Oryzias latipes: one gene and its partner. The protein of the gene in region 1 binds, or shares a complex with, the protein of each later gene. Links are inferred from orthologs where the notes say so. Each region holds a gene or a part of one and is shown in the gene's direction. Other genes may lie near its edges.

Evidence for each region. The genes of interacting proteins can lie anywhere in the genome.
Region 2: cnot9 (region 1) and cnot8 share a complex: the UniProt entries of both Homo sapiens proteins name them as parts of the CCR4-NOT complex. The link is inferred for Oryzias latipes from reciprocal best matches to the Homo sapiens genes CNOT9 and CNOT8.

The regions. Positions count from the first base shown.
Region 1 is NC_019879.2:16,421,026-16,432,294, reverse strand, and holds cnot9 (CCR4-NOT transcription complex subunit 9), read left to right. Parts: upstream 1-3,994; 5' UTR 3,995-4,354; coding exon 4,355-4,372; intron 4,373-4,844; coding exon 4,845-5,030; intron 5,031-5,174; coding exon 5,175-5,290; intron 5,291-5,717; coding exon 5,718-5,827; intron 5,828-5,954; coding exon 5,955-6,064; intron 6,065-6,256; coding exon 6,257-6,355; intron 6,356-9,785; coding exon 9,786-9,877; intron 9,878-10,326; coding exon 10,327-10,495; 3' UTR 10,496-11,063; downstream 11,064-11,269. Other genes in the region: usp37 (ubiquitin carboxyl-terminal hydrolase 37), read right to left, coding at 95-172, 257-372, 1,205-1,293, 1,751-1,901, 2,703-2,876. UniProt on the Homo sapiens protein: Component of the CCR4-NOT complex which is one of the major cellular mRNA deadenylases and is linked to various cellular processes including bulk mRNA degradation, miRNA-mediated repression, translational repression during translational initiation and general transcription regulation.
Region 2 is NC_019872.2:29,379,746-29,390,266, forward strand, and holds cnot8 (CCR4-NOT transcription complex subunit 8), read left to right. Parts: upstream 1-1,076; 5' UTR 1,077-1,175; exon of another isoform or gene 1,176-1,346; intron 1,347-2,077; 5' UTR 2,078-2,159; coding exon 2,160-2,276; intron 2,277-2,410; coding exon 2,411-2,604; intron 2,605-3,045; coding exon 3,046-3,207; intron 3,208-4,086; coding exon 4,087-4,231; intron 4,232-4,319; coding exon 4,320-4,430; intron 4,431-5,887; coding exon 5,888-6,016; 3' UTR 6,017-6,428; downstream 6,429-10,521. Other genes in the region: gemin5 (gem-associated protein 5), read right to left, coding at 10,081-10,245, 10,332-10,419. UniProt on the Homo sapiens protein: Has 3'-5' poly(A) exoribonuclease activity for synthetic poly(A) RNA substrate. Its function seems to be partially redundant with that of CNOT7.

The DNA.
Region 1 (11,269 bases):
AATCTAAATGATTCTGGATTGTAGAAACTCAGACTTCTAAAAGGACAATGATTCTGAGGATTGTGTCAGTTGCAACACACACTACTGGGCTCACCTGGAGGAGTCATTTTCCTTGGGGTAGTCTTCATTAAGGTCACTTTCAGAAGTGAGGAGTCTCTTTCTTTTCTCACCTCTGAAACAAAAAGTCACAACATTTTTCCAAACCAAATAAATGGAAAAAAAAAATGTAGAACCACGTGATAAAAGTCGATCACACCTGTTTTCCAGCAGTCCAATGCGTGTTGGAGTGGCAGCTGCCCTGCTAGGGCTGCTCAGAGGCTTTCTTGGTGTTGTATCTTCCCGGCCCTCTATACTCTGTCGCCTTGGTGTTGTCTAAAACAATTTTGGCTGAAATGCTGAGTCTGCATTATTATTTAATCCTCAACTTTAGGCCTGCACAATATACCGCAAATTTATCGTTATCGCGACATCAAGCTGTGCAATATGCATACCGCAAAAGACGGCGAAAATCGCAATAAACGGTTACCTCAAATGTGCAAAAACAAACTCATGGCAGCCTGAAATAGTGAACAAATGAAATTAATCCCTTTATGCATTTAACCAATCGGAAGGACCCGTTTACCTTGTTGATCAATCAGATGGAGCCCTTTTATGTTTGATGTTTGCCTCCTACGTCGACCAGGGTCATTTGGAGTATCATTTTTAAACTGTTGCAGTGAAATGTAAATGATGTTTTTGGTTGTTTGGCTATTTGTTTATATACCGCAAATTATATCGTTATCGCGATATTAATCACCAATATTGCATATCGCGAGTTTTCCTCATATCGTGCAGCCCTACTCAACTTGTATAAGAGAACTGGACGAGGGAGTGTGGCGTCACTCATAGAAAACTCTGCCAACTCTGTCGCCATTTTTGCACCACCATTTGTAGCCAGACAAGGTCAGTAAGCAGGGATTGGGCAGAATCGGTCTAAATCAATCTGTCTATAGCAACTGCTGTCACCAATCAGGAGTGAGATTATTAGAAGTCCACACCCCTTCCACTGAAAGTGGACTTGGGAGACTCTGTCAAGTGTTAATTTTGAACATTCAAGGTGGGGGCCTGCAGGTACTTCCTGTTTGGAATTTGAAGGGCGGAGGGGTCACTCAGTCCAGTTCTATTATACATTCAGTGTCATCAAAGTCAAAGTTGCTTTGCTCACCTGTCTCTCTCCTGATACGTTGGTCTCATTTTTCATAGAGCGGTTGCCAAGTACGCTTAGGTTTGCACTTCCATAGGAGGACTTTAAAACTACATGAAGAGATAGAAAAGATGAGAACAAAAATGATAATAAAATCAGTTACTTAAAGAATAAAGGTTTTCTGCAAAAATGCACCGAAGACACAATAGCATATTGATTACATTTAATTTTTATGACTGATTTGCAACTGGTTTTTATTCAGCAATGATGGCTTAAAAAAGTACAGAACAACTTTCTACTTGGAAAACATAACTAAATATATATTCATATTCAAACAAAAATGTTTTTGGCATGGACATTTTTAAAAAGTGGACCAAACCTTTCTGAATTTTGAACTTGTGAATCTAAATAAAATAAGATTGAGTATTTTAGCAGTTATACAGTTCTTGGAAAAATAAAAAGGGGTTTTGACAGACAAATTAAATTTCAATCTAGGCAGTCAATAATTTAAGGAATATTTTACATAAAGTTTTTGTTGGGTTAAAAAAAGAGAAGTAGTGTAATTACCAGATTTTCCCTGTTTCAGTTTTTCCAGATACTCCTTTGTCCTCTGAACCAATGGCTGAGGCATCTTATCCAAGTAAATGACAACATTGTCCTTCAGAGTCAACATGATCCGATTTGGATTCTGAGAAATGCTTTTCACATTATGGTTCAGCTGAAAAAAACAATACACTCTTTAAAAAAAACACATGTAAGAGATAGACACCAAAGCACTTCAAAAACAATGTTAACTTTTCATCTGCTGATTTCCTTTTTAACAGATAGCATATTTATGTCAGTATCACCTGATTAACATAGAAAGGGTTAAAGCGATGTCGATAAAACAACTCAGAAAAGTTATATTTTACTTCTGCTTTTCTACAACACTAAAGGCTCTGTGAAAGAGAATTATGTTTTACATATGTTTATTATAAAATAACATAAAACTGAATTACATTACAGCACAAGCTGATTCCTCACACAGGGGTGAATATTTTGATTTGTTACACAACAAAATTACAAAATATTAGAAATTTTACTTTTAAGCAATTAAAGTTGAGGGCTTGGTACTTTCAACTGTGAACTTTATATTTTTACAAGTGTTCAACAAAATAAAGGCTCAGGACTTTCCTATAGTGAAACTACATTGTTTTAAAGATGTAAATGATGTGCTAAATTAGTTTTAGGTTTTGTATCAGATCTTTGCTGATGTGAAAATACACCCCTTAGTGGCAGTAAGTAAACAAGCAAGGTGTTCACCTGAATTTACGGAAATTTAACTTCCTCCAGCAACATATGATGTGCTTGAAATTTTTAATTGAGATAAAATAATAGGTGTAGTTCTATCCAAAATGGAATAAATTACACTAATTTAAAAAAATGTCTAAGTAGGGATGACAGAAACATCATGCCTAATGCTAAATATCTGTCACAACACCAACAAGCATACAGATAAAATACATTAAAGAGAAATTACCTGGAAAGTTTTGGCAGCGCCACCACAGCTGAACCTTAAACAGAGATTAACTCTGTTATCCTTTTCCAAAATTTCAAAGGTTCCCTCTTTCCACTTGGTGCCGCCCAGCTCAATGGTGTTAAAGCGAATCTTGACAGTGCTACCACTGGAGAGTTTGGGCACAAAAGTTGACATGGCTTGCTATCCTGATGGTCCACTTGTTAGGTCTGAATTTAAGATGTACAAAAGAAATAAACATGTCAAGAAATAGTCACACGGGTAGCCTATAATGGCAAAAACAACCTCACTTTTATGACTGCTATTGCTATTTAACCAAATAAACAGTTTAAATGAATATTTTTACCATTGCTAAATGCCACATAACAAGAAGTTAGTATTTTTGTAACTAGTTTGCTATATTGTTTTTTTTACAGAACATGCAGCACCGACGTGCCATTCTGAAGATTATAAGTGATTTAATTTGTAGCCAACAATAACATTTGCTAAAAACTTGAAATGTGTTATTCAAAATTATAATAATAAATAAATAAAAGATACAGAAACAAAACTAATATGAGATATGTAGATACGTAGCCAACATGGCAAATGCGGTTTGAAGTAAAGGAAAAAGGTAGGACTTCATAATCCAAAGTGACAAGTTAGCATAACAGTACAATATGAATTACTGCACCACAAAAATCACAAAATATAACAAACTGCATATCCTGAACGGTCATTGAATTTTAGTTTTAAACATGTTTGTGTAGAGCCTGCATTTAAACAACAAACACTGACAACTCCAATGTTGCAGAGGAGAAGCAACACATTTTGAGCTGCGTTGTGATGCTCGTGGCGCGGCCAGAACCATAGATTCAAACGATATAAACAAAAATATCAGTCTATCAACGAACTAGTCGAATAACATGAATCTAATATTAAATGTGAAGCATGCAGTGGCGTTTTTGTTTCTTTAACAGACGCTTAATATGATGGAAGAGGCCCACATTAGCAACACTGGTTCCTAAGCTAGCGGGAGCTAGCTAACACAGTAATTTGGTGATGAAAACAACCACATTCAGTGCCATCGTCATTTCATTACCTGTCTAGGATCACGGTGGTGGTTCCAAACCTATAGAATGTGGACTTGACTTCGCAGATCCTTCGAGAGCATAAAAAAGGTTTTGCCGGCATTCACCTGCTGTTCTGTATGTTTGCTGCAAGTAGAGCAGCACACTACGCCTCACAGCAACGGGCGATGATGGCGGGAATGGGAACATTTACAACGGAAATGATGAACGAGATTGCGCTCCGTTCTCCTCTCGCGATATCTGAGACGTTGTTTGTAGCGAAGTTGTCCCTGCCGAGGAAAAAAAATCAAACGCGAGATTGAAAAAAATGCCAGTGTAAACTTGGTTTATTGATACTATAACGACAATAATTTCTTTTTGTGCTTCTGTAGTTCTCAGTGTTGGGATTTCGATTGAAGTTATGTGAAGTTACGCATGTTGTGGATCCCATTTGTTAGAGCACCTAGCAACTAGCTAAGCTAGCAGTTCGTAAGCATATGTCCATGGTTCTTACGGTGAGATTTCAGGGTCGAGTATTGCGAAGAGGTGCAAACTGACGAACTTTCTATTAAAAGAGTATTTTGAGATCCCGAAAAGCTTTCCAAAATGTTGGCAACGGGAGCGGTGAGTATCAAACTATTGCATCGCTCTCACGGTGACGTTCCCTCCAATTTCGCCTAAGTACATCGAAAATCTTTTTTTTCCTCCCAAATTTCAGCTTTCTTTATTGAATTAATTTTAAAGCAGAACTTCTCTTTGCAGTTTTCAAAGAAAGACTGCATAATATTAATGAAAGCCTCGTACAAATGTAGTACAGTATGGTTTTGGTATACATGTATTGCAGTTGGCAAATCATGAGACGTTTTTGTAGTTAAATTGACAAATAATTTGATTTTGCCCCAATTTGTCATAGCAGACATTTAACAAATTTACACGCTGTCATTTCCTCTTCATGATTTGGGTTTGCAGAAGGGGGAAATTAAACGTAGGTTACATATATCTTAATTAGCGTAATGTTTTTGTTCTTGAGTGTTTCGTTTGTTTGCTTGTTTAAAGAATTGATTGCGAATGGATTGATATTTTCTTCCTATCAAAGGCTGTAACCAACGTCACAGCCCTGGCCCAAGTAGACCGTGAGAAGATTTACCAGTGGATCAATGAGTTGTCCAGTCCAGAGACTAGAGAGAATGCTTTGCTGGAGCTCAGCAAGAAGCGAGAATCCGTGCCAGACTTGGCCCCAATGCTCTGGCATTCATGTGGCACCATTGCTGCCCTGTTGCAGGTATTGGTCCACCTGTTCATTTGACACAGGTCATCCCATTGGGACTGTTTGTGCATCTGTGCCTCTTGTATGGTCTTTATTTTTGTAGTGGTGTTAAACAACTCCTTTTGTTAATTAAATTGTCCTCCTTTTTTTTTTTTTCAGGAAATAGTAAACATCTATCCGTCTATTAACCCACCAACCCTTACAGCCCACCAGTCAAATAGAGTGTGTAATGCCCTGGCACTTTTGCAGTGTGTTGCCTCACATCCAGAGACACGGTAACAAGATAGTTATTGTTACTGAAAAATCAGATTTTTATTTTTTATTTTTAGTAATTCTAATAATTAACTGCTCTTATAATGTTTTAAAGGGGTAACAGACCACAATCTGTTTTATTTATTTGTTTATTATTTGTTTAAAAAGTAACAGTCATCAGTCACTTTTAATACATACATCATACAGAATAGTGGATTTTTCCAGCATTTAGCCTTTGCAGATCTTCAGTTTAAAGCGGTTAAAAGATAATAAATATAGTATTTTCATTTTTATTAAGGCCATGGTCTAAATAAATTGTTTAATATTAAGGTTTTGTTATGTAATTCCTCAATTCACTATAATTTAAAAAAAAAAACGAACTTATTTCCATTTGCAAGGTTTAATGTGTTACATTGATTAATATGATTTTATTTGTTTTGTCCACACCAGGTCAGCATTTCTAGCTGCCCATATTCCTCTTTTCCTTTACCCTTTTCTGCACACTGTGAGTAAAACGCGTCCATTTGAGTACCTGCGACTTACCAGTCTAGGAGTCATAGGTAATTTCTCCTGCTGAGATCATGTTTTTGTTGATTTTACTTTTAATTTAAAAAGTCTTCTCTTTTAGGTATTGCTCTGATAATTCTGTTTATGTCAGATCTTGATTTGTTTGTGTGTTCTTGACAGGTGCATTGGTGAAAACCGATGAACAAGAAGTGATAAACTTCCTTCTTACTACGGAAATCATCCCACTCTGTCTTCGCATCATGGAATCTGGAAGTGAACTCTCCAAGACGGTAATTACCAATGAAATCAAAAGCAGTTTTTATCAAGCAGGAAGAAAAAAATGGATTTTGGAGTCAAACATTCAAAATATGTGTTAACAGATTTGGGTTTTGGTTTTCTAAAACCTACTCTCATGCATTTATCTATGGTATGAATTTAACTCATGTTTCTACCATTGACTATAATTCTTTTTTTTTTATCAGGTTGCTACTTTCATACTGCAAAAGATCCTGCTGGATGACACTGGGTTGGCTTACATATGTCAGACTTATGAACGTTTTTCCCATGTCGCCATGATTCTTGTAAGTATTTTAGGATTTTTGTGTTGTGCACCTATAGCATTGTTGTGATAAAGATGTACAGTCAAGACCATAAATATTTGGACAGAGACACGTTTTTTCTAACGTGTCTCTCAGATCAACTCAGATGCCATTGAAGTGCAGACTTTCAGCCTTGGTTGAACAAAAAGATTGTATAAAAATGTGAAAAACTAAAGCATTTTTTAAACACAATCCCTTCATTTCTTGGGCTCCTAAGTAATTGGACAAATTAAATAACTGAAAACAAAATGGTCATTACTAATATTTGGTGGAAAACCCTTTGTTGGCAATGACAGCCTGAGCTGACCTCTCTTGATGAGAGACTGGCGGTAATAATTGGGGAATCCCTTTTAAGTGGTGTGGTGACTGAGGCGCAGGGGGAACACCGACGCGCCAGATGCACCGGGTGACATACCCCCAAAAGCCCGCAGAGGTCCAACAGGACAGCTCGAGGATTTTTTTTTTTTTTTTTTTTTTTTTTTTTTTTTTTTTTTTTAGATTTCCAAAATTTTTCATCCAACCCACAAGAATGAGTTTCTTGCAACAGAAAAATATTTCCGCCAGTTCTTCTAAGAAAAAGAAATAATGCTTTTCTCTTGGTTGTATCACGTAGTCCCCTAACATTTAAAGAAATTATTTTTAAAGAGTTAAACTTAAAATCAGTCATAGCTCATAGAACACAGAACTTGAAAATAAGAACAAATAACAATTCTATACCAACTTACCTAGCTTTAGGGATAAGTTGGAAACAAAAACTTGTTGAAAGTTTGACATGCCTTCATAAGGTAAATTCTAAGCCAACAAATGACTGTTGCAAAGGGAATATTTCTTAATTACCGACCTTTACAGTTACATCAATCAGTTTTTTAGATTTTCAGCTGAAACTCTCTTTCCATCGATGATGGCATCCTGTCCTCTCCAGGTGGCTTTCTTTCCTTCTTTCCGAGCTTTTTCCACCAACGGCCAGATCTTTCCTCTGTTCTGCCTTTCACGGAAGGTTAAATCTTCGGCGATGCGAAGCTTCTTTTCCTTCATGACTGCAGCATCCTTTGACGCCTCCAGATTTTCTGCCTGAAGACTCGCAATGTGAATTGAATGATGACTGGTCGAGGCCTGCTTTCATCTTTACGCTGTCCCACGCGATGCACTGTGTCAATCAGAAAGCCAAATTTCTGCCTTTCTTCTGGAGCTATCTGGGCAAAAACCTCAAAAACTTTTCCTCTTGTTTCCTCCGTTGTTTCATTTGTGGATTAAGGAAGGTTGAACATCTTCAGATTCCACCTGCGACTGTACCGTTCCATCTCATCGGTCTTCATCTCCAGATCTGAAAATCTGTGATTCACCTCTTGCATCCTTTCCTCGCTTTTTTTAACCTGGTGATCCAAGCCTTCCACCACTTCTTTGATGGTTACAATATCTGCAGTGTTTCTGCAGATCTTTTCTTCAAGGGAAGCAAATCTGCCCGTTAATTCGCGAATTGCATGTAAAATATCAGCATTTGACACCTGTTCTTCTTTTTTTCCTGAACACTGTTTCTTTGACAGAGGACTTGAAGCAGGAGATTCAAGCAGCAGTGCACAAGCAGAACCTGCGCCCTCTTCATCTGTGTCCATTATCATGTTCCCTTGATTTTATCTCGTTTCGGCATGGCGTTAGCAATAGCTAGCTAGCAGTCGCAAATAGTGGTGGATTGAAAGATCTTCCCCAGCAGGAACTCCCAGAGCGAGTAAGTAATATTAAGTTCGTTTTTTTTTTCTTTATTTTTTTTTTTAAGCAAGCTCTCTTACCGGTAGTCAGTCAGTGTATTCATTTGTTGTCTTGTTACTAATAGACAGGGTTTGGCACGCAAACTTCTGCAGAGTTTAGAACACTGTATGCTCGCGGTCCGCCATCTTGCCGAACCGCCGGACAGCTCGAGGAAGTCGGAACCGGCTCATAAGCCACTCATCCTCGTTTGCCAGGAAGTCTTCTTGCTGTCTAAATATGCGTTCACTCCGAATTCTTCCATTTGCCACATCTTCTAAGAGCGCAAGATAAGCCATTGAGCGTCATTACGCATTGTGATGGGGCATTTTATTTCCATCCATTTAATTACATCTGACAAGCTACAGATGTCGGTAATAATCGACGTGGAAATGGGAAATTGATCAGCGCAAATGTAATTTCTTGTTGCTTTCTGAATGGTTGAGACATACGCTATACATTGTTTTATCAAAAATAAAACAAACTAAAGGCATATGCATGAATACCATAATTCCATAGCTTATGCCTTATGAAGAAATGTTTTAATATGAAAACAACTTTCACCAGTGGACAATTAATGTCTGTCTGTCTGTCTGTCTAATTGCACCAATATCTGCTCCGCCAGACGGACACATTAACGAGAATATCAGTTTTGTACATTATTTCGTTCTGTTAACTATATTGTTTATGAGGATGAATTGCACTACATGCCAATATTGTAGAACATATTTCACTTTTCTTTTTGCAAATATGTGTTCATTTGAATTTCTGTTGTAATTTTCGTTTGATTTTTTTGTTTGTTTCACTGCTGATCGATCAAACGGGTGTTCGTGTAGCTGTTAATTGTAAGACTTGCTTTGTGAAGTCTTCATGTTATTTCTGAGAGGCAGTATTGTCATTTTCACTTTCATGTGTTTCTTCCATCTGCCGACGGTGTCGCCGTTTCTCATTTCACCCGTTTTTGTGCGTACGCCTGGGTCAGAGCTTGCGTGAAGGACCGCACATTTTCCCGTCAAGTTTGCTTTTTATAAATCTCAATTATTGCGTAGAGAGTGGCGTACGCCTTCTTTTGTGCGTACGCAACGTTTATAAATGAGGCCCCAGGTCTTTTTGCGTTGCTGAGTTCACCAGTGCTTTCTGTCTTTCTCAGGATGTACCACACTGTTGATTTTGCCACTCCTAATACTGTAGCAATTTCTGGCATGTTTTTTTTCTGTTTTCTCAGCTTAATGATGGCTCTTTTCCCCTGCATGGAGAGCTCCTTTGACCGCATGTTGTCTGTTCACAGAAAAATCTTCCAAATGCAAGCATGAGTCCTCTAATCTTCTCCAGGCCTTTTATCGGCTTCACTCATAATGACATAACAAGGGAATTACCCACACCTGCCCATGCAATAGCATGGAAGTCAATTATCCAATTATTTACGAGCCCATGAAATGAAGGGATTGTGTTTAAAAAATGCTTTAGTTTTTCACATTTTTATGCAATCTTTTTGTTCAACCCATGGAATAAAAGCTGAAAGTCTGCACTTCAACGGCATCTAAGTTTTATTTAAAACTCACTGTGGTAATGTACAGAAACTAAATTATAAAGAATGTGTCTATCCAAATATTTACGGTCCTGACTGTATGCTACACACCACAATAATACGATCATTTTATCTGTGCAGGGCAAGATGGTGCTGCAGCTCTCCAAAGAGCCATCAGCTCGTCTGCTGAAACACGTTGTCCGCTGCTATCTTCGCCTCTCTGATAACCTAAGGTAAAACAGTCTCCGTGACTAAATTTGCCTTTTTTATTTATCCTAAAGTTCCTGGAAAACAACTATTTTGATTGCAAAAAAAAAAATAGAATTTGATCTGTGTTTTTTGCAACTATCATTACTTAATGTGTTTCTACTGGTTAAAAGTGCTGCAAAAACAAGCATATAGCAACTTACCGGTAAATGGGAATTCCACATAATGCCTTCAGATATTTCTTTCTTTCCTATTTTGGATGAAACATGCATTTTTGGGATAATGAAACTTGGAAAAGAAGGGTAACAGTTGTCTGAATTAATCAAAAGTGATAAAAGATTTACAATGATCAGCTTTTTTTTTTTTTAGAACTTTTAAAAATGCTGTATAAACAAATGTTTATTTTCTGATTGGCTGATATATGAGAAGTTACATATGTCCTACAGTGATTTGACATTTGGTTTTCTTTTCTCAGAGCCAGAGAGGCCCTTCGTCAGTGTCTACCAGACCAGTTAAAGGACAACACCTTTGCACAGGTGCTGAAGGACGACACCACCACCAAGCGCTGGCTCGCACAACTAGTGAAGAACTTGCAGGAAGGCCAAGTTACCGATGCTAGAGGCATCCCACTTGCTCCACAGTGATGGAGCTTCAATCCACAGTGAGGGGGTGTGGTTCCAATGGACACAAATGGACTCACTTGGTGTTTTTTGCCAAATTTGGTGCTAAAGCTATGCACTGGAGAGGCTTAAAATAAGAGATGTTTTTCTTTTGCTTTAGTTTGTTTTTCTAAAGATAGGGTTGTTGTCAAAACTGTACACTTTTATAAAAAACCTTAAAAATCTGATTTTCAAGCCTGACTCATTTGGACGCCTAGTACATTACTTCATTTTATATGAGCAACTGGCTCAAATATTGACTGAGACAAATTTCTTTCTTGCTACCCTTTTTTTGTCAAAGATGTTTGTGAAATGTTGAGGTACATTATGTTGCATTTAAGGGAAAACTTGCAACTTCAGCCCCGTTTCTGCTTTAAAATTTTCTGAAAGAAACAACATATGAAAGTTAGGAAACTACATCCAAGATTTTTCTCAAACAGCATTTTTCTGCAAGTCATCCTGAAAACTGTTCTTAAATCTGATGCTGGCGCTTTTTATTGTTACCACTCGATCTTTCTGTAACTTCCAATAAAAGCTGGTTTTGCTTCTAAAATGAGCATTTTAATTTGCATTAGTTCTATGATAATAGTGAGCAGGAAATCACAAATATTCTACAGTAAGTGGTTGTTAAGGTTTAACAGTCATTCTCTGATATTTTGTCTATTTACAGCTACACTTTTTTGGATACATAATTGTAAACATTTTTAAAAAGTCACCATTTGTTTGTTTGACCTTTAAGACTTTTCCAGAGGATGATCA
Region 2 (10,521 bases), on another chromosome or scaffold:
TAGCAGACAGAAGTCATTTTACTACTAATCAATAAAGAAGCTTCTGCAGTCACTTTGCGTTGACGAAGCAGAAGCAGCTTCACCTGCAAGGTGGCCTTCAAAGCCACACCCTCTTTTTAATAATTTTCCTTATTTTTAATCCCCTGCTGTTGTTTTACTTTATTATGAAGTTGTTCTTCTGTGTTTTTCCCTTAAAGCTGCAGCTGTTTCTGTGCTAAACATGATGTTTCTGTGGAGGACTGAAACTCACTTCATTCAATTGTGTAAAAATGTAAAATAAAAGGGTTCGGATGGACCGATTTGAACGCTGTTTTTCATTAGTTTCCTGTGACTTTTTGTCAAATCTTTTCCTTTCATGGTCATTGGTATCACATGGTCTACAGAGGGAACTACAGAGGGAGCAGCATGTGCAGCAGCTGCTCTTTCACCATTTTTTACCTCATCTAGGTTTCCGCGTCGCTCAGCAGATGCGTGTTTGGGGAAAGAAATACACATTCGTTTATACATTAAAAATACAGTTTCACATGAAAATACCTGTAAAACACAAGGAGTAATGAATGTTTCAATGAAATGTTGATATTCAAACAAAAACATGATATACCTACATGTCTCATGCTGTCTTTCATATGTTAAACTAAATTCATATTTACATTTTAATTATATGTGTATTGGAACCGTTACAAAGGTTATCATGGTTGAGTCCTGCACAATATAACCATCATATAGTTTGATAAATAATGTTTATTCTAATGTGTTCTCTGCTTGGCATTTTAGTTACATATTTGGGTTTATTGTTTTCAGTTTACAAACTTTTTTTTAAATAGTGTTTTTTTTTGTATTTCTGACATTTTTATTATGATTATTCCTATAATTTATTAAAAAGGTACAATGAATGACCCATTTACTGCATGGATGAGGGCCTTTAGGAAAAAATTTGTGTTGAAGTAGTTAATATGAATTTGACATATGAATATATTTAAGTAACAAAAAAATGTAAAGATAAGTCATACATTTTTATTTAATGGATGGATGTCAACAAATGAAGTAGCGTTGTGGAGCTTCCGCTCCGGACCGGCAGGGGGCAGTGTGCACGTTTATAGTCCACTCCAAACCGGAAGTGAGACGGTAGGAAATGAAGGAAGCAGACGACAGCGTTGTGTCGAGGGAATTTTAAGGTAAACCGGTTACCTAATTAAACGACTACATTTTTTTTCCCGGGCAGCTTCAGTCAGATTAAACACTTTAACAGGGCCACGTCATTTATTTATTCTTCAATGCTGCGTCATCTCTGCAACTTGACCGCGCGCGAATATTAACGTCTATGCTAACTGTTAGCATCGATCACGGTTTGTTTTCATTTTCTTTTCTGCTTAAGAACAATTTTAAAGTATATTTGTTTTATTTATAGTGTTAGAATGATTGAAAATATCGGTTTTATATTTGTATTTCGGCTGAAGTTAAATTAGTAAAGCCAGTTCCGCACTACAGTCAGTACGGAGTCGGCTGTCATGGCAACAACAGCGTTTTTTTAATGCTGTTCTTTGTTGTTTCTATTTTTATTGTTAGTTTTTGCTCGTTTTGAGAGCCTCCATACAGCGTGTACTTTCATTATATATAAAGATCTATGTGGAAACGCGTCAGGTAGACTGTAAAAATCCCAGTTACAGACTACAGAAACGTCATTTTACCATGTAACTTTCAGTGCTGCTGTTGAACTGATTTTTTTTTTAAACCAAATATATGGTGACACCCAAGACTACTTGGTGGATTATTACATACAGAAAGCAGTTAGTCTTCAATCTATCAATAGCATTTTGAATCAAATTGATGCTGTGAAACAGGGAAACAATTGTTAAGGGGTCAAAGCAGGACAGAGTAAAGACACGGTTTGACCCTGCATTTGACCTTAGATCAGTAAATGATGCCATCATGACTGGGTAACTTTTGAATAAATTAAGTAGACTCTTATTAGATGCTCAGCTTCCAAAGATTCCCTATTTTTATGTTGTATACTTGTGATGATTTGACGGCATTACTCTGAGATTTAAGTACGTTTTTTCTAAATCTCCTTTCGCAGTTCTTTTTTTGTTGCACGGTCCCCCTTCCCACCCCCCCTTGAAGCCCTGCAGGACCGTCGGGTCTCCTAGGAACCTGCCAACATGCCAGCTGCTCTTCAAGATTCCAGCCAGATGATCTGTGAAGTCTGGGCGAGCAACGTGGGGGAAGAGATGAGGAAGATACGGCAAATTATCCAAAGCTACAACTACGTTGCCATGGTTACAGGCTCTCCTTTCTTTGTTGACAGTTGAATTCTAAAAAGAAAAACAAAGAACGTAAATGTGGTGATTGCAAATGTGTGCTAGTCTCTTCCTTTCCTGGAGTGTCCTAACCCTGCATTTCTGTGTCTTAGGACACGGAGTTTCCCGGAGTCGTGGTCCGACCCATAGGCGAGTTTCGCAGTACGGTAGATTACCAGTACCAGCTGCTGCGGTGCAACGTGGATCTGCTGAAGATCATCCAGCTTGGTCTCACATTCATGAACGAGGATGGGGATTACCCCCCCGGCACGACCACGTGGCAATTCAACTTCAAGTTCAACCTGACGTAGGTGCTTCGTCGTCTCATGGGACTGAAAACGTTCGCTGCTTCCTGTCAACCTGCTGGCAGCCTAAGCCACTTATGTGCTATGATGACAACAGTCTTTAAAAATAATAAAAAACATAAACAGAGACGCCTGTAAATTAAACTCCAGTACGTAAGCCTTAAACAGGCTGTGAAAGATGCAATGAGCCACTTCTCCACTAGGAGACAGTATTTCACACAGAAGTTTGTGCCTCAGCTGTTCTACTGTGGTGTTAAACTGCATGAACTTTTTACTTTTTTTTTTTTATTAGATGTATTTTAATAATTAAAAAAAGGTTGATTTACATTTTTGTTTACTCCTTTTCATAAATCTCTGAAAAGTGAAAGGTTCACAGGTTTTCTAGTGAAATAAGATGATCAAGTCCTGAAATGATCCTTGATGTTCTCTAACGTTGTGTGCAGTGAGGATATGTACTCCCAGGACTCCATAGACCTGCTCCAGAACTCGGGTCTGCAGTTCAAAAAACACGAAGAAGAAGGAATCGACACGCTGTACTTCGCCGAGCTCCTCATGACGTCGGGTCTGGTTCTGTGTGAGAACGTCAAGTGGCTGTCCTTCCACAGGTCGGTTGTCTGCTGGCTTGTTCCATGAACGGGGGTGGGAGGGGGTCTTCTGTTTGATCTTTCAGAAATCATAAAATATAATTAAAATCACTTTAACCCAGTAGAACCCACGGTGACGTCAGTGTAACAGAAAATATCAGAAATGGATTCTTTGGTCCATTTGGTTTGTGGTTAAAATATGCACTTTATTTTAAACAACAAATGGGTCTGGGTACTTATGGGTTAACACCAGAATAGAGATCCAGATAAAACAATGTAAGCAGGTCAAAAACATCTCTTTTACTCTGAACTTAATCCTTGTCAGAGGAAAAACTTCTCTGGGATCTTCAGGGAGAAATTTCAGAGATTAGCTGCATGGAGCTGAATTCTGAGCTCCAGTTAAAGTTCTGCCTCTGGTTCATTCCAAATATGATCTCTGATGCTAAAGCATGAAGAGACTTGAACAGAAGCAGAACTATTTGAAAGGCTGTTGTGTGACCTCGGGACTGATGGTCAAAATCAGAAGCGGAGCAGCAGCGTTCTGGATGAACTGCTGCTTCTTTTCTGGGTCCAGACGTTACAGCAGTCTGACCTGCTGGAGACAAACTCCACAATAAACTGGTATCTTAGTCCTCTTTGGTTCTGCTGATGTTTCTTAGACGATATAATGTAGATGACGTTCAAGATTATGGAACTTTAAGTCTTTGCAGAGCTTTTTAGAGCGACCGTCACCATTTTCCCTGTCTTCCTCTGAGACAGACACGATCTAGAAAAGGTTTCTGGGATGCTGCTTCTATTCACATTGATAGTAAACTTTTGCAGAACCTCTGAAACTGTTCAATGTCTAGAGGAGTTGATTCTCTGAGTTTTTAATCATTAATAATTTTTGTTTTGTCTCAGTGGTTATGACTTTGGCTATCTGGTGAAACTCCTGACGGATGCGCGGCTTCCAGAGGAGGAACACGAGTTCTTTCAGATCTTAAACTTGTTTTTTCCTGCAATTTACGATGTGAAGTATTTGATGAAGAGCTGCAAAAGTCTGAAGGTAAGGCCTGCGGGTCACAGGGTTTATTGCTTTCTACATCCCCGAGGAACGTGGAGCCGTCTCACTCCGTCTCCGCTTGTTCCTGCAGGGGGGGTTGCAGGAAGTGGCCGATCAGCTGGAGCTGAAGAGGATTGGCCGGCAGCATCAGGCGGGGTCGGATTCGCTGCTCACGGGCATGGCTTTCTTCAGGATGAAGGAGGTACAGTCTTCATCGTTTTCCGGCTGACAGCTGTTCTGTTGCAGCTGGAAGTTTTTGTGAATCTGCTTAGATGGTTTATAAAATGTCTTTCGAGAAATGCATTTATAAATGCGTAGAATTGTAGATCTTTAGTGTTTTATGTGTGGACATACACTCACCCACTTTAGCAGCTCCACTTTGCTTGTACCCTCTTTAGCCTTCAGAACCGCCTTAATCCTCTGTGGTTTAGAATCAGCAAGGTTCTGGAAACATTCCTCAGAGACTTTGGTCCATGTTGACATGACAGCATCAGTTGCTGCAGATTTGTCAGCTGTACATCCATGATGCCGATCTCCAGTTCCACCGCATCCCAAAGGTTCTCTATTGGGTTCTGGTGACTGTGGAGGCAGTTTGAGTCCAGAGAACTCATTGTCATGTTCTAGAAACCAGTCTGAGATGATTCCAGCTTCATGACATGGAGCCTTATCCTGCTGGAAGTAGCATCAGAAGATGGTCCACTGTGGTCATGAAGGGATGGACATGGTCAGCATCAATACTCTGGTAGACTGTGGTGCTGGAACCATGCTCAGTTGGTACAAAGAAAACATCCCCACACCATGACACCACCACCACCAGCCTGAACCGTTGATACAGGGCAGGATGGATCCATGCTTTCATTTTGTTGAGGCCAGATTCTGACTCTACCATCTGAATGTGGCAGCAGAAATGGAGACTCATCAGACCAGACAACGTTTTTCCATCTTCTATGGTCCAGTTTTGGTGAGTCTGTGTGAATTGTAGCCTCAGTTTCCTGTTCTTAGCTGACAGCAGTGGTACCCGGTGTGGTCTTCTGCTGCTGTAGTCCATCTGCCTCCAGGTTGGACGGGTTGTTCTTTCATTGATGCTCTTCTGCAGACCTCTGTTGGAACCAGTGGTTCTTTGAGTTCCTGTTGTCTTCTATCAGCTGGAACCAATCTGACCTCTGGCACCAACGAGGCATTTCCATCCACAGAACTGCTGCTCTCTGGATGTTTTCTCTTTAAGGACCGTTCTTTGTAAACCCTAGAGATGGTTGTGGGTGAAAATCCCAGTAGATCAGCAGTTTCTGAAATCCTCAGACCAGCCCGTCTGGAACCAACAAGCACGTTCAGAGTCCCTTCAATCACCTTTCTTCCTCGTTCTGATGCTCGGTTTGATCGTCTGGACCATGTCTAATTAATGCACAGAGCTGCTGCCATGTGATTGGCTGGTTGGACAGGTGTGCCTAATAAAGTCGCCGCAGTTCAATAAAAAGGCTGCTTTGTTTCATTTATTTCATTTTATTTCATCTGAAAATGTGAAACTTTAGCATCAGCTGGATTATTATGAACACATCAAAAATGTCATTTCTTAATTGTCTGCAGGTTTGTGGATGTTTGGTTCAGTGTGAAGGTGGTGCAGAAATAATCCCAACAGACTCGTTTGTTTGTCTGTCGCAGCTTTTCTTCGAGGACAACATCGACGACGCCAAATACTGCGGGAGGCTGTACGGCCTCGGCTCCGGCTCCAGTCAGCCGCAGAACGGCCTCGCCGGCTCCACGGGCGATGAGGCCAACAACAAGCACTGAGCCCCCCCCCCAGAGTGTTTTAAAAGCCAACCAGCGGGTTTCTGCTCCCATCTTCTCACTAAATACCCCAATGTGAGCCCTCACCGCCTCTGCAGGCTGCAGTGGCCCCGCCCCTCATGGCAGTCAGCAGTGGCCCCCTCCCCGGGCTCGCTCTTTCTTTTAGTCACTTTTTACTTCATTTCCAAACACTTTTTAAAACGCCTCATTTGCAGCATGGGACCAGCTTCAGGATGATTCTGCCCCCCAGCAGGATCTCCTTGTAGGTTACACTCATGTAAATGAACATGTTTTAGCTCATGTCCACTCAGAAGGTGGTGGTTCTCCAGCAGACCACACTCTTCCGCTCACTGTTTTTACATTCTGCATCGTTGTCAACAGTTGTATATTAAATTGTTTTGTATTTTCAGTGTAATCGTGGAGCGTTTGGTCATTTCTGGACAATCCTTTTATTCTGTTCTTCAAACACCTCTGTGGTCAAGTCAAAGCGATGCTCAGAAATGACTCGTCAGAACCGGGATCTAGAGCCGAGTCATGTTTTAGGAAAGAGAGGACGAGCATGCTTGGGGAAACTGGGCTAAACCTGGTCCTCGGTTCTTACAGGTGGGGCAGAACAGGGGTCTTCAGCATCATCTCTGCTCCTCCTGCTGGAAGGTGGACGAAGGCGTGTTCTGCAGCAGACTAAGAGAAAAGGCAGCAGGGAAAGAAAGAACTTTGACAGAAACTTAGTGGACGTGACGGGCAGCAGAACTTTGGATCTCCTGTGTGATCAAGAGATCAGAGGAAAGAGTGCTGGGCCTCGCCGGTCGGGCCATGTTTACAACACTTATTGTGGACCCCCTCTTCCCTGGGGTGTCCTCCTCCTGGGCGGGGACGGCTGGCCCCTGCCTTGCTCCTTCCTGGACCAACCGTGGGCCGGGCGGATGGCTGCCTGGAGTGCGGGTCGGGTCTCCCTTGGGGGGTCCTGGCTCGTACCTGGGGTTTGGGCGGGGGGATGCCCGGAACTCCTCGGTGGTGATGGGGTGCTCGTCTGGGGCTGTGGGTGTTCTTCTGGGGCGGTGCCCCGCGTTGAGCCTTCCCGGCGTAGCGGTGGGGCTGCTCTCCTGTTAGGCCGGAGCAGCACTCTCTTTACCCCATCCCTCCCCTGCTCTCTGCCTCTGGGGGGCCGCAATGGTCCTGCTGGCCCTGGCCTGGGTGGCGGATGTGATCGCCCAGGGGGGGCGGTTGTCCTCCATCTGGTACCGTGCGGGTGTTGGGGAGTCTTGGTGTGGGGGTGGCTGGTCACTCTCTCTCCTTCTTTTCACATTCCACCATCCATTTTAGAAGAACATAAACACTCACCTGAGCACAGGTGTTAGCTCACCTTTGCACTAATAGTTTGCATGATTGAATGAAATATTTCACACTAGTTGGTTTAAAGGCATAAGTATGCGTGTGTGAACACTATCTGTTTTGTGTACATGTGGACATTTTTTGCAGCTAACGGGTGTGTTGATAATATTTGAGTGTGTGGACAGGCCCCGCCCTTTTTGTACTACATTTACATTTACATTTTACAGTAAACTTGTTGCTTTATGCTGCTTCATGGTCTTATCCCCCCTCCCACTATCACCCCCCCCCCCCTCTCTAACATTCCTCTCTCTTCTTCCTTTCTTTCCCTTTCCGTCCGGTCCAACACCAAAGATTTTCAAACATGATTGAAATTAATAAATTTTGGCCTCAATTACAAAAGGGGTTTATTCAGACACACCTTTGGTTTGTCAGAAGATGAATAACCCCTGTTGTTAAAGTAAAATATGTCCAACACAAGAGGCCCTCAGCTCTCATCTGTCTGCCCAGCTGTTGGACAGGACAAGTTAAAATAAATAAAAAGAGACCAGAGGAAAGAGGACAAAGCTGCTTTAAGACATCTGATCTTGATGAGGCTGGAAAGACTTGGATCCTGAAGCAGAGCAGGTAGAATGTGAGGTCCAGCGGGACAAGTCACACATCCTGCAGGTTGTTCCACCAAAACTCTGACTTTGGTCTGTTGTGTTTATCATGACTTCATGAAAGACTAAATGTGAGAAAGAGTCCAGATAATCATTTTGATTCATTTTTAACGAATGTATGTGTATAATGGAGCAGAACATATAGCAAACGTTCATCTCATCACTGAAAGAGGTCAAAGGTCTCCTGAAGGTCTTCAGGTTCGGTATGTGATGTTTTGGGACATTCACCATTGATTCTCTGATTGAAAACCCTCCAGAACCACAAAATGCTCTTTACGTAGCCACTTTCTTGTTGCCATGACGATGTGTTTGCGATCACTGACACGTTCTCTTTCCTGGAAGAGTTTCTCGTCCAAAATCTCACCATGCATGGATCCATTCATCCTTTCCTTCATAAGGACCGGTCGTTCTGTGCTCTCAGCAGAAAAACAGGCCCATAACATGATGATTCCACCCCCATGCTTCACGGTGCGTCTGTGTTCTCTTCCAAACCCAGCAAGTGGCGTTTATACCAAAGAGTTCCGTTTTGGTCTCATCTGACCACCTGACTTCCTCCTCATCCTCCGGATCATCTGGACAGGAAGGGGGGCCTTTTGGAGCACTGGAGGACGTTGTGTGTTACCATAGTAACCGGAGTTACTGTGACCCCAGCTCTCCTCAGGTCATCGATCACTTTCCCTGTGACGTTCTGGGCTGCTCCTCACCGTTCTAAAGATCACGGAGATCTTCCATGAAGCTCCAGGTGGAGAGAGATTTGAAGGGTCCAAGCAGAACCTGACCCAAACTAAAAGGTCTGTTAGGAGATGCTAATGTCTTTACATGAACAGAATTTACTAAATGTTAAACCACAAAAAATGGAGTTAATCTACTAATTAATATATAAATGATTATATGTACTGTTCTATGATAGAATCACAGTCATTATATGGGCCCAATATTTATTCACATTTAAATATATGAATGGGCAGTTTTTTTACCCCTTAGCAGATGAGTGTTCAGATGCACAGAACAAGAATCCACCTGAACATCAGATCTACAGCAGAAACCTGGACCCAGAAAGTCCGGAGCTGCAGAAAACTCCTGCGGTTCTCCCTGCTGGACTTTAGCTCAGAATGATCTTCATCAAACATCCCATAGAAACTCCCAAAATGGGCAACACGCTGACACACAAACCGTCGCCGATAACAAAAGGCAGAGGGCAGCAGAGCAGTCAGGAGAATCTGGTCTCCACTTTGGAGAAACCTTCTCAACAAGCGGGGGTCTGAGGCCCTTCCATGTTCAAGCCGGCCTCCATGTCTGTGTCCACATGCTCCACCAGCTGCTAGAGCCGAAGGACGTCCCAGAGACATCTTCCATGGTCCAGCCACGCTGAAGAACAGAGTCCTGCGAGGGGGCGGAGTCAAAGCAGGAGAAATGTCTGAGTTTGACTCCACCTGTAGCCTCCATCAGCTGCTGAAGTCACGCTTCCATGCTGTTCTAGCACCACCTAGTGGCCAAGCGTGGTAACAATCACTACCACCAAAAGTTTCCTCAAAACATTTGAACTGAACTTTTGTAATTTACCAAACATTTGGAGTTTCTTTTTTTTTACTTTGTGTAACCCTTGTGCTATCTTAGATGACCCCCCCCCCCTTCCATTGAGGTGTTCTCCCTACCATGACAAAGGTGGATAAAGGTGGAAAGATTTCATGTAATCCATGGACACCAGTGAAGATCACAAATCATTGAAGAAAAAAGGTTCATAGCACTGTCTAGTGGGTCTAGATGACCCAACTCCCAATGTTAGAGTGCCTAGGATAGAACAAGGGGTAAGAATTAGTATAATAATCAAAAATAGTTTAAATAATTAGTTTATAGTTTAACTGTTCCTCAGTTCTGAGCTCAGATCCTGAACTTTATGAGGTTTAACCACTTTTATAAATGCTATTAGTAAAAATGTAACTGTTTTCACAAACTAAAGGAAAAACTACTTTAAAATGACCAAAATGATTTTAGAGGAGCTCTGATTCAGGTGACTTTCATGTGTCCTTTATTAACCAAAACTGTACAGGTGCAGAGGTTCAGCAGCAGACGTGTTCATGTGATGAAGCGCCGATAGGCGTTCAGAATGGAGGGACTCCTCCCGTGTTTCTGCAGCAGGTCTTCGGCTTTCTGTCGCAGCGACGGACACACGGCGCCCGCAGATCGGCCGAGGTGCAAAAGCACGAGGGAACACTCCAGGACGTCTGGATGAGGAAACATCTGAGGGACGAAGAGGACGCAGTTACAGCTCCAGATCAAACACAGAACCCATGAGAGCGTGTCCAGATGGAGGAGTGGAGGCCGACCTTCAGGGTGTCGGGCAGGTCGACCAGCTGCTGCTGGTATTTGGACATCTTGGAGGACAGAGACAGAAGAGTCTCCTGATCTTCACAGCTGGAACAAAAACTTCTAGTTAACTGAATGAAGCACAAACTAGAAGAAAAAGTCCATGGCAGACGCTGCTGGACCTGACGGAAACATGACCAGGGTTAAGGT